Linked DNA regions of Sus scrofa. The protein of the gene in region 2 purifies or fractionates together with the protein of the main gene of each other region. This does not show direct contact. Links are inferred from orthologs where the notes say so. Each region holds a gene or a part of one and is shown on either strand. Other genes may lie near its edges. The genes, in order: EIF2S1 and PPP1R15A.

Region 1 (4,496 bases), on a different chromosome or scaffold from region 2:
TTTTAAACAGGGTTTCTTTCCCCCTCCTCGGACAATTGTTGTCAAATATGTGTGTAATGTACTAAAATTTGAGAGCTAAAAAAGTTTCAAACTGGATATCCAAGTAAATGTCATGGAAATGTATGAAACAATTTTAATAGATTTAACAGATACTAACCACTTTTACTCACCAAGTTTCTTCAAATAGTAACTTATCAAATAGTAGTAGTAATTATTTATTTCTTCAAATAGATAATTTTGGGAAAGCAAGACAATCTGAATGTTAAAGAACATAAGCAATAATGTAAAAGAATTCTGAAGGGAGATATGAATGCTACTGCTTTAGGAGGTACAGGTTTTTTTTCTTTTCAACACACAATGTAAATAAAGGAATATTGCTGATATTATGTCATTCACAGTAAAAGATAGGAAGTAGCCCACAAGTACAAAAATAATCTATTTTGCACAGGAAAATCTACTCAATAGTTTGTAATAACCTATTTGGGAAAAAAGAATGGATATATTTATATGTATGACTGGTTCACTTTGCTGTACACCTGAAACTAACAGAACATTTTAAGTCAACTATACGCCAATAAAATTAAATTTAAAAAATAAAAAAATAATATATAATCTATTTTGCAAGAAAACTGCATATTGGTTGATAGATTTTGAACCTATCTCCTTACTTATGGATATTATGCTAATAACATAGCTTTGAAAAAATCCATCAGGAAAATAGGAGTCACACCAGGTATCTATCACCCCTTTATATGATGTTCAAAGCACTTTTACTTACTACCTGTGGCTGCCTGGGAAACATATTCCCATTAACTCCAGTTTCTAGTGTGTGCCATATACTTCACAGGTTTGTGCAGGGTTATCAAGTGAGATAAAATACTCACGTGAAAAATTTTGGAAAGTGTAATGTGCTATACAAATATAAGACATTAAAAGGCAAAGAAGGTATCAATTCCATTTTGTAATTTAGTTCATTAAACAATTTTTTTGCAGCATCTATTATTAAAATAAAGTACTAAATGACCTCCTCAAAGACAAATGCTTCATAAGAAAGGGAGCTAAAACCAGGTCATTCAATACTAAATCTAGTTTCTTAAACCACAGAGCCTCGATATGCCAGAGTACTACAACACAGTATGTGTTCTTTGGTAAAGAATACCCATCTTTCAAAATATATTAACTGAACTTGAAGCAAGTTTCAAATACCCTGCACTGTGAGTAATCCTGCCTGGTCAAAAGGTAGGCAGGACTTTTTTCTTAAACGACTGCATGGTCAAGCGGCCATGATGGATACAGAAAGTCCACATTTTTTTTGAAAGTAACGTATGATGTGTTAGAGGCAACTTCTATGATAATTCTAACTCCGCTCTAACACTCATCAGTTACCTTCTCTGAATGCCTGTTTTTATTACATAAATTACATAAACAAAGCTTTTAAACTATTTTACTGTGGCTGAAATAAGCAGCACCAATTTCTACAAGCATTATTACTATGCATCTTTTTGAGATCTTTTGAGGATCAGTGACTTGTTATTTGGCATCAGATGAACTGAGAACAGACAGTAAAGCTCTACATAATTCCAAACTGCTGAAAGACACAGAGTTACAAGATTTTTTCCCTTGAATAATAACATCAAACGGGAGAAAAACCAAGACTTCTTGCTAAACCTTTCCTCCACGAAACAATGTTTCTTGTTAAATAAAACTTAAAGTAGTCTAAGTTTGGGGGGGTAATAAAATTCCCTTATCTTTATGTTTTTTTAGTTATGCTTAACCGAAAGATCACAGCGTGTAATTCTACAAGTTTACTTTCATCGATGCTGAAACACGGTAAACCGATACTAAGAGTTATATATAAACTCTTCAACAGTATCTTTTAGTTTCAACTGAAGGGGTGACTCAGTCTACAGAAATGCACCGAGCGATAAAGTGATAGGAGCTTCAATTTTTAAATATAAGTTATCAGAGGAACAAATTATTCTTGGATACTTTTAAACCCAACTCTGTCAACATCATGGCCCAAACCACCGGTTCCTTGAAGCGGCCGGTCTGGTTTCCACTGAGAGGTAGTATTTGCTGGGGCGGACGAAAAAGATGGAATTCTCAGGCCCGGAGAGAGCAAAATGCTCAGCGTCGTGGGGCGGGGGTGTCATAGCGTTCTCCCGAGACGGCCCCACCTCAAGGCACCCCTGTTTTATGTATATTGAAGACGCTGTACAATCACTGGGCCCACTTCCCTTCACGAGATTCCTTCGTTCGTACCTTGACACCACCGCTCGGAGAGACCGACACCCGGCCGGTGGCGACCGCAGTCGCGTCCAGGCACTTCCCGCTCAGGGACGGGAAAAGGAGGTGTTAACCCAGGGCCTACCCTCTACCGAACACCCATGCCATTGGACACAACCAAAGTAAATTCTTCGAGAAACTGATCGGGGAGACTAGTCACCTGAGGTATGTATATGGATCCCGCACTGGGGCCCCGCGCCGCGCTCTTCAATCAGAGAGAACTGACTTGATCCACCCGCAGCAGCCGCCGACTCTCTTCAGCGTGCGCTTCTCTCAACCCTACCGCGCATGCGGAACCACCTCGCAGCACGCAAGCGCCGACAGACTACAGACCGCTCTTCATCACCTACCATAGAGTCTAGGTCCTCCGCGAACAAAGAGGTCTGTGGGCCTTAGGAGGACTTGAAAAGTACATTTTCTCGCCATCTTTAGTTTTCGCTAAGTGACTTTCAAGGCGCAGATAAGAAGTAAGACTCGGATTCCTTGTCCCTAAAGAATAAATTCTCTACGATACTGTCAGTCAACCATGAGGTGGCGCTGTGACCAGAGGTGAATGTGGAGGAGGAGAAGGGGTGTACTCTTCTCTCTCGGTCTTTCGTCTCTTGGGTGTAGAGCCTTGCGCAGCCGCCTGGGAGCTGGAGGGGGAGGGGCTCGGCAGCGTACCGGAATCGAGGGGCGGTTCCGGGGTGCGCGCGCCTCAACATCCGGGCATCGCCTTCTTCCTGTCCCGGCCTTCCTGCACTCCTGTGCCAAGAGAAAGCGGAAGTGAAGAAGAGACACTCCGGCTGCCTCTTAGCAACGCGAAGGGCGTCACGTGACACAACCAGCTGACTCCGGTAGAGAAGGACTCTGTGGCTGCAGCACTTGCCTGGCCTGGGACCGGAGCCGCACGGTCGCCGTCAGAATGTCGGGCAAAGACCGAATTGAAATCTTTCCCTCGCGAATGTAAGTAAAAGAATGGAACGAACACACTTACGGGTTCAGGAACACCGGCCCGGAGCCGCTGTCCGTTCACACCCTGGACCAGCAGCGAGGCACCTTGTTTCCTTGGCCGACTCTGAGCTCTCCTCAGACACTTCGTGAGTCCAGGGCGAAGCTCTTTGGCGGGCCCGCACACATTCCTCTGTTTGAACCGGACTGGGCAGAACGAGCCCAGCCGGTGGAACAGGCGCCCGGCCTGCTGGATTTTATGAAGGCTCATTGACTTTACTCATTAATTGAGCTTTTCACCCCACATTCCTTTATTGAGCCGGGCACTATCCTTACGTACCTATGAGTTTTCGTCACTTGTGCCTTAAGAGAGCTAAAGACAGACAAGCCGAGGAGGTTTGCCGATAATGCTTTGAAAAAGGAAGTTTACTACGATGGGAAGCAGGCTTCTAAGCCAAATTGGGGGTTGAATCCAATCACCGTAACGTGGACGTTAGGTTCGATAGTGGATCCCCTTGCTCCTTTTCCCTTGAAATGTTTGTCGCCTGAGGTGGGAAGCTATCCCAGAATTTCTAAGGCACTCCTTTTGCTCTGTCACCATTGCATCTCATTCAGGCCTGTGTTAATATCACCCATCACGTTGTAAAGTGGATATTGTTTTATGTGTATTTACCACTGAACTACAAGCCCTCTCCAGGATGAGATCTCTTTTATTAATCCATAGAAAGTCCATTAAAAAAATGGTGCCTGAATGAACCCATATTTTGGAATTTGGTCAGTCGTGGGCTTCATTGCCTGAATTCTTTGGCTGGAGAAATAGCATAGCACTCTAGGTGTTTGGCCAGTCTGTAAAGAAAATTTTGAAATTTTCTTAAATGTGCCTAAGAACATGTGGAAAGTAATAATTGTTCTTATTTGTCGTCTTCTCCCCTTTCTCCTCCCCTTCTTCTTCTTTTTTTTTTTTTTTTTTTCTTTCTCTAAGGAGCAGAAAGTCAGTTTTGGTTCTGAGAGATGTTTTGACTGTGGTCCTCTCTTTGGGGGACCTTTTGTTTTTCTTCATTCTGAATTTTTTCTCAGAGAATCTGAGGACTCTTAAATAAGAGTTGTTTTTAAACCCTAAACCTAGTTTTCTGTCTCTGCCTGGGTGGCTACAGCTTTTAATAAAATGAAGGGGGTTTTGTTTGGTTTTTACCTTTACCTGACTTTTCAATAGCTGTTTGTCCTAGATGGACGCAATTCAGTTATGGAGAAAGGTAATGCCTGTGAAATAGTTAATGATC
Region 2 (4,512 bases):
AGGGAGAGAGAGAGAGAGAAGCAAACAATTAATTGCACCACAGCGCTTGTTATCAGGTTAGTCACCCGCCTGTCATCCGATTCTCTGTGACTCATCTGAAGCAGGAGGTGGTTCCCTGGGGTTGACATCAGCGAGACTGCTCCTTCCTCCCCACTGGGGCCCAGCCTCTTACAAAGGATTGCATTACAGGGGACAAGCCTCCCCGCAGAGCTCACGCGCAACCCTCTGCAACACGGGGGGACCCAGGAGTTCCAGCTCCCAGCCCTCTTCCCTGATGCTCAAGAATCTGAGCCCTCGGCACCCACCTTTCTGGTCTTTCGGGGAGGCTCTGGGTCCTGATGCCTGGCAGGGCTGGTGGGGGTTTCTGCGGGTTTGAGCCTCCGTTGCAAGCGGAGGGGCAGCCGGGAAGGAGCCCAGGGGGGTGGTGTCTTCTCTCCAGGTAAATAGATGGCCACTCGGAAGGGACAGGGCTCAGCTTCTTCCCGCTCTTCCGCAGCTTCCCCGCCCTCTGTTCCCTTCCCAGGCTGATACATCTGGTCCCTGCGGAGGGCACGCTGGGCCTGAAGGGATGGACTTGGTCCCCAGACAGCTGCTTCTGATTCCCCATCCTCTTCCTCCTCATCGTCGTCCTCCTCCTCCGTGTCCTCTCCGGGTCGATACACCCAGGCCCTCAGGAAGGCACTTGTGGGTGGGACGGAAGGAGGACCAGCTTCTCCTTCCTCCTCAGCTGCTCCTGCATCACTATCCCTGTCCTCCTCCTCCTCCTCTGTGTCCTCACCGGGTCGATACACCCAGGCTCTGAAGAAGGCACTTGGGTGCGGGCTGGAAGAGGGACCCTCAGCTTCTCTTTCCTCCTCAGCTTCTCCTTCCTCCTCAGCTGCTCCCTCGTCACTGTCCCCGTCTTCCTCCTCCTCCGTGTCCTCTCCGGGTCTGTACACCCAGGCCCTCAGGAAGGCATTTGTGAGTAGGTTGGAAGAAGGGCCCTCGGCTGCCCCCAGATCCCTGTCCTCATCCTTCTCTTCATCTTCCTCCTCTGAGATCTCCCTGGACTGATGCTGCCGGGTCCCGAGCAGGGGGCTCTGGGCTAGAATTGCGGAGTGGGGCTCTGGGCCAGCCTCTCGTTTCTCCACCTTTCTGTCCTCCTCCTCCTCAGGCTCCTCCCCTGAACAACACTCCCAGGCCCCGGGGTGGGAACCGAGGGATGAGGGGCAGGTGGAGGGCTTCGTGGCTGCTTTGTTCTCTGTTCTTTCTTCCTCTGTGGCTCCTTCCACTGCGCAGCACACCCAGGAGCGGGGCTGGGGTCCTGGAGCTGAGGGGGAGGTAGATGTTCTAGGAGCTTCTTTATTTACAGCTTCTCCAGCCTCCTCCTCCTCCTCCACTGCCACACCTGGACAACCCTCCCAGTGTGACAGAGGAAAAGCGAAGGTGATTATGTCTTTATCTTCAGTAACTGCTTCTTCCTGAGATTCTTCCTCCCCAGGAACGTCCTGCTGGGCTCTCATCAGAAGGCTGGGGGACAGGGGAGCAGGAAGGCCATCCATAAATTCACTTCCGGGCTCTCTAGGGACGCGGGTTGCTGCTTCCCCACCACGCTCATCATCTGAAAGTCCCCAGGTTTCCAAAAGCAAACACTTGGCTTCCAGGTCAGGGTAGCTCCCCCAGGATGCTTCTTCATCCTCCTCAGTTGCTCTCCTCTCTCCAGGCTCTTCTTGTGGCTGGGTGGCCAGAGAAGCCTTTGTGTCTCCCTCCAGGCCAGGTTCTCCCGCGTCTGCCCTGGTTACTGCCTCCACTAGCCAGGGCTCTGGAGGGCCTGGGCCCCTCAGGTGGCTCCAGGCCCGGCTGAGAAGGCCCATCAGCGGGGACAGGAGAAAGGAGTGGGTAGCCCTCCAGGGGGCAGGCTGGTGGGGCACTTGGCCTGGGGCCATCTTTGTCTGCTGGGGAAAAGGGAGAAAAAAAAGGAAACGAGTTTAGAAGCCATGGAGGGAATAGCATCAGAGAGTGACCTTGAGTCATAGCAACACAAATAGTAACACGAATAGTAACACAAACAGCAACCAGAGAGGCCCCGCCCCACATTCCTTTCTCATCCCAGCCACACCCATCTCTGTCCCTAGTTTCCCAGCCTCTCTCAACACCCAAGAGTCTGGATCATCACTCATTCCTTCCTTAGCCCAAAGGGCTCCCAGCCCCATTTCCTCTCTGACCCATTAAATTCTAGTCCCAGGAAGCAAGAACACAGGTCCTCTGCTTGCTTCCTCTGGGGACAAAGTCCTTGTCCCTTGCCTCTCTCATCCTCCTGAGGATTGAAAAATTAGGCGCCCACCATTCTCCTCCTTCCAAGACATAAAACTTCCGATCCCTAGATGGTGCCTTCTGGCTCCCAGACTCTTCCTCTGTCCGGCTCAGGACTCTAAGCTCCCAATTCCTTCTCCTGCCTAAGTCCGAGCCCTCGGGTCCGGCCTCGTCCCACCTCTCCAGAAAAAGGAGTTCAGGTTCCCAGGAGTCCTTAGGGCACAGGAGTCCGAGCTCCGAACACCCCTATCTCGGAACTCAGAAGTTCGAGCTCCCTCCTCGTTATTGACCAGGATTCTAGTCCTCCGCCCCCAAACCCCTAGGAACCTAGATGTTCCGACCCCCTCAACTCACCAGCTCGGGATTGCGCGTCACCCTGGGGGCAGGAGCGTCGGCTGGGGCTGCCACAAGCGATCGCAGTTCCGGACAGCTCGGGAGTCCAGAGCGTTCATTTCGCCCTCCGGCGTCGGGCTCGGGGACTCAAATTGTCACCGGCTGCTGCAAGCGTTGTCACGACGAATGGGCGCAAGGTCACACGGAGAAACAAATACAAACACACCGGCTAGCCACTTAGGACGTAAGGGTTGACGCGGTCCTCAGCGCTTTTATACACAAACGCAGCCGGACGTGGTGACGTCAGGAGAGGAGGCGGGGTTTCGAATCGTAATCGTGATGGACGAAACGGAAAACAAGGTTGGACTTCTCGCGGAGATTCCGGACTTTATGACGTCACGGCGGTATTTCTGAGCGTGGCCACGCCCTGAAGCAGGCGAGCTGCCAATCAAACTCATGAACTGGTTAGGTTTTGAGCGCGCGAGCTCAACCTCTGTTCCAGGCAAACGCCGTTACTCCCCGCCCCCAATTTAGCCAGCCGGCCCCAGGCTAGAGTCTTCCACCCTCCAGTCCAGTCGGCTTCCTATCCGGTGTGGGAAGGTATCATTATTTCCATTTCACAGATGGGGAAACTGAGTCTTGGGCATGAAATCACTTGCCCAAGGGTGGGCACAGCGGAGTCTATATTCATTGCAAAAGAGAAAGAGAATGTGTAAGGCCCCTGAAGGCAGGCGCTTTTCTTTGCTCACTGCCTGCGTGACACATAGTAGGTGCTCAACAAATACGCGGTGAGAAATACTGGACCAAAACCTCAGATCCCGTGCCTATCTCAGGCACAAGGCGCCACTCCTAGGCTCCACCTACTTCAAATTTATACAGAACCTCCGCTTACACAAATTGAAATTCTAGCTGGGTATCACCAACATCAAGGGAGTGGGGGGGCGGTCTTTTGCCCCAAATTCCAGGCCTAAGGACATGGTTTCAGTCCCTGGCACCCCACCACCAACCTGGTCTGCAATCCTGTACCTCAAAATACGCCCAGGACCCAGGCCTCCCTCCTGAGAGGGCATCATCCTCAGTCTAGACCGGAGTTCTCACCTGGATCTGAGGTGGAGATTGCCACTGGCCACTTGACCCTGCTCTTGCCAGAACCCAGCAATCTGGGGGCCGCCCTCTCTTCTCTGGAGGACTTGGACCCATCCACTGCAAGCCACACCTCCAGACCCCAGCTCCATTCTCAAGTCCTGACTCCTGGCTCACATTTTGTCAGGTACCCAGTAGTCTGAGCCCCTACCCCTCCCTTCCATTCCCAAGGCGCCAATCACCCAGGCTTCCGATCACAACCTGCCCCCTCAGGTCCTGGAGTCCAGGCCCAGCTCCTCTTCTCCAAACATGTAGGAATCCCAGCTTCAGCCTTGATGGGACCCGGTCCAGCAGGGACCTAAGAGCGTGTGGGTGGATGGGTGGGGTGGAGGTGGGAGGGTGGCCCCCAGCCCCCAGCCCCCAGCCCCCAGCCCCTCCCTTCAGCTGTGGGGGCAGCTGAGCCAGAGGTCAGGCTGTGGTGGGGAGGCCAAGAGGGGCGGGGTCAGCGGGGATTGGGAGCCGGGACAGCAGCGTGGGCGGCTGGCAGGGGGAAGGAAAGACCAGCAGAGGGGAAAGAGAAACTGGGAGAGCAGAGGAAGAGAGACAGTGAGAAGGAGCGTCCGGGAGAGAAGGAAACAGCAGACGTGGAGGGCCAGAGAGAGAGAGGGCGAGAGGGAGGGAACAGAAGGGAGACTTAAAGAGATTGTGAGCCCAGGAGAGGATTTGGACAGAAACAGAAAGACTGGGACAGAAAGTGATATAGGGGGTGGGGGAGCTGCGGACGAGAGGGTGTGTAAGGGAGAG

Evidence for each region.
Region 1: the proteins of PPP1R15A (region 2) and EIF2S1 purify together in Homo sapiens (affinity purification with western blotting; 4 studies listed by BioGRID and IntAct, with this or other methods). This does not show direct contact. The link is inferred for Sus scrofa from reciprocal best matches to the Homo sapiens genes PPP1R15A and EIF2S1.

Annotation. Positions count from the first base shown.
Region 1 is NC_010449.5:91,083,389-91,087,884, reverse strand, and holds the start of EIF2S1 (eukaryotic translation initiation factor 2 subunit 1), read right to left. Parts: upstream 2,861-4,496; 5' UTR 2,447-2,860; intron 1-2,446. Other genes in the region: ATP6V1D (V-type proton ATPase subunit D), read left to right, coding at 3,191-3,231. UniProt on the Homo sapiens protein: Member of the eIF2 complex that functions in the early steps of protein synthesis by forming a ternary complex with GTP and initiator tRNA. This complex binds to a 40S ribosomal subunit, followed by mRNA binding to form a 43S pre-initiation complex (43S PIC).
Region 2 is NC_010448.4:54,170,409-54,174,920, reverse strand, and holds the start of PPP1R15A (protein phosphatase 1 regulatory subunit 15A), read right to left. Parts: upstream 2,884-4,512; 5' UTR 2,647-2,883; intron 1,935-2,646; 5' UTR 1,926-1,934; coding exon 306-1,925; intron 1-305. UniProt on the Homo sapiens protein: Recruits the serine/threonine-protein phosphatase PPP1CA to prevents excessive phosphorylation of the translation initiation factor eIF-2A/EIF2S1, thereby reversing the shut-off of protein synthesis initiated by stress-inducible kinases and facilitating recovery of cells from stress.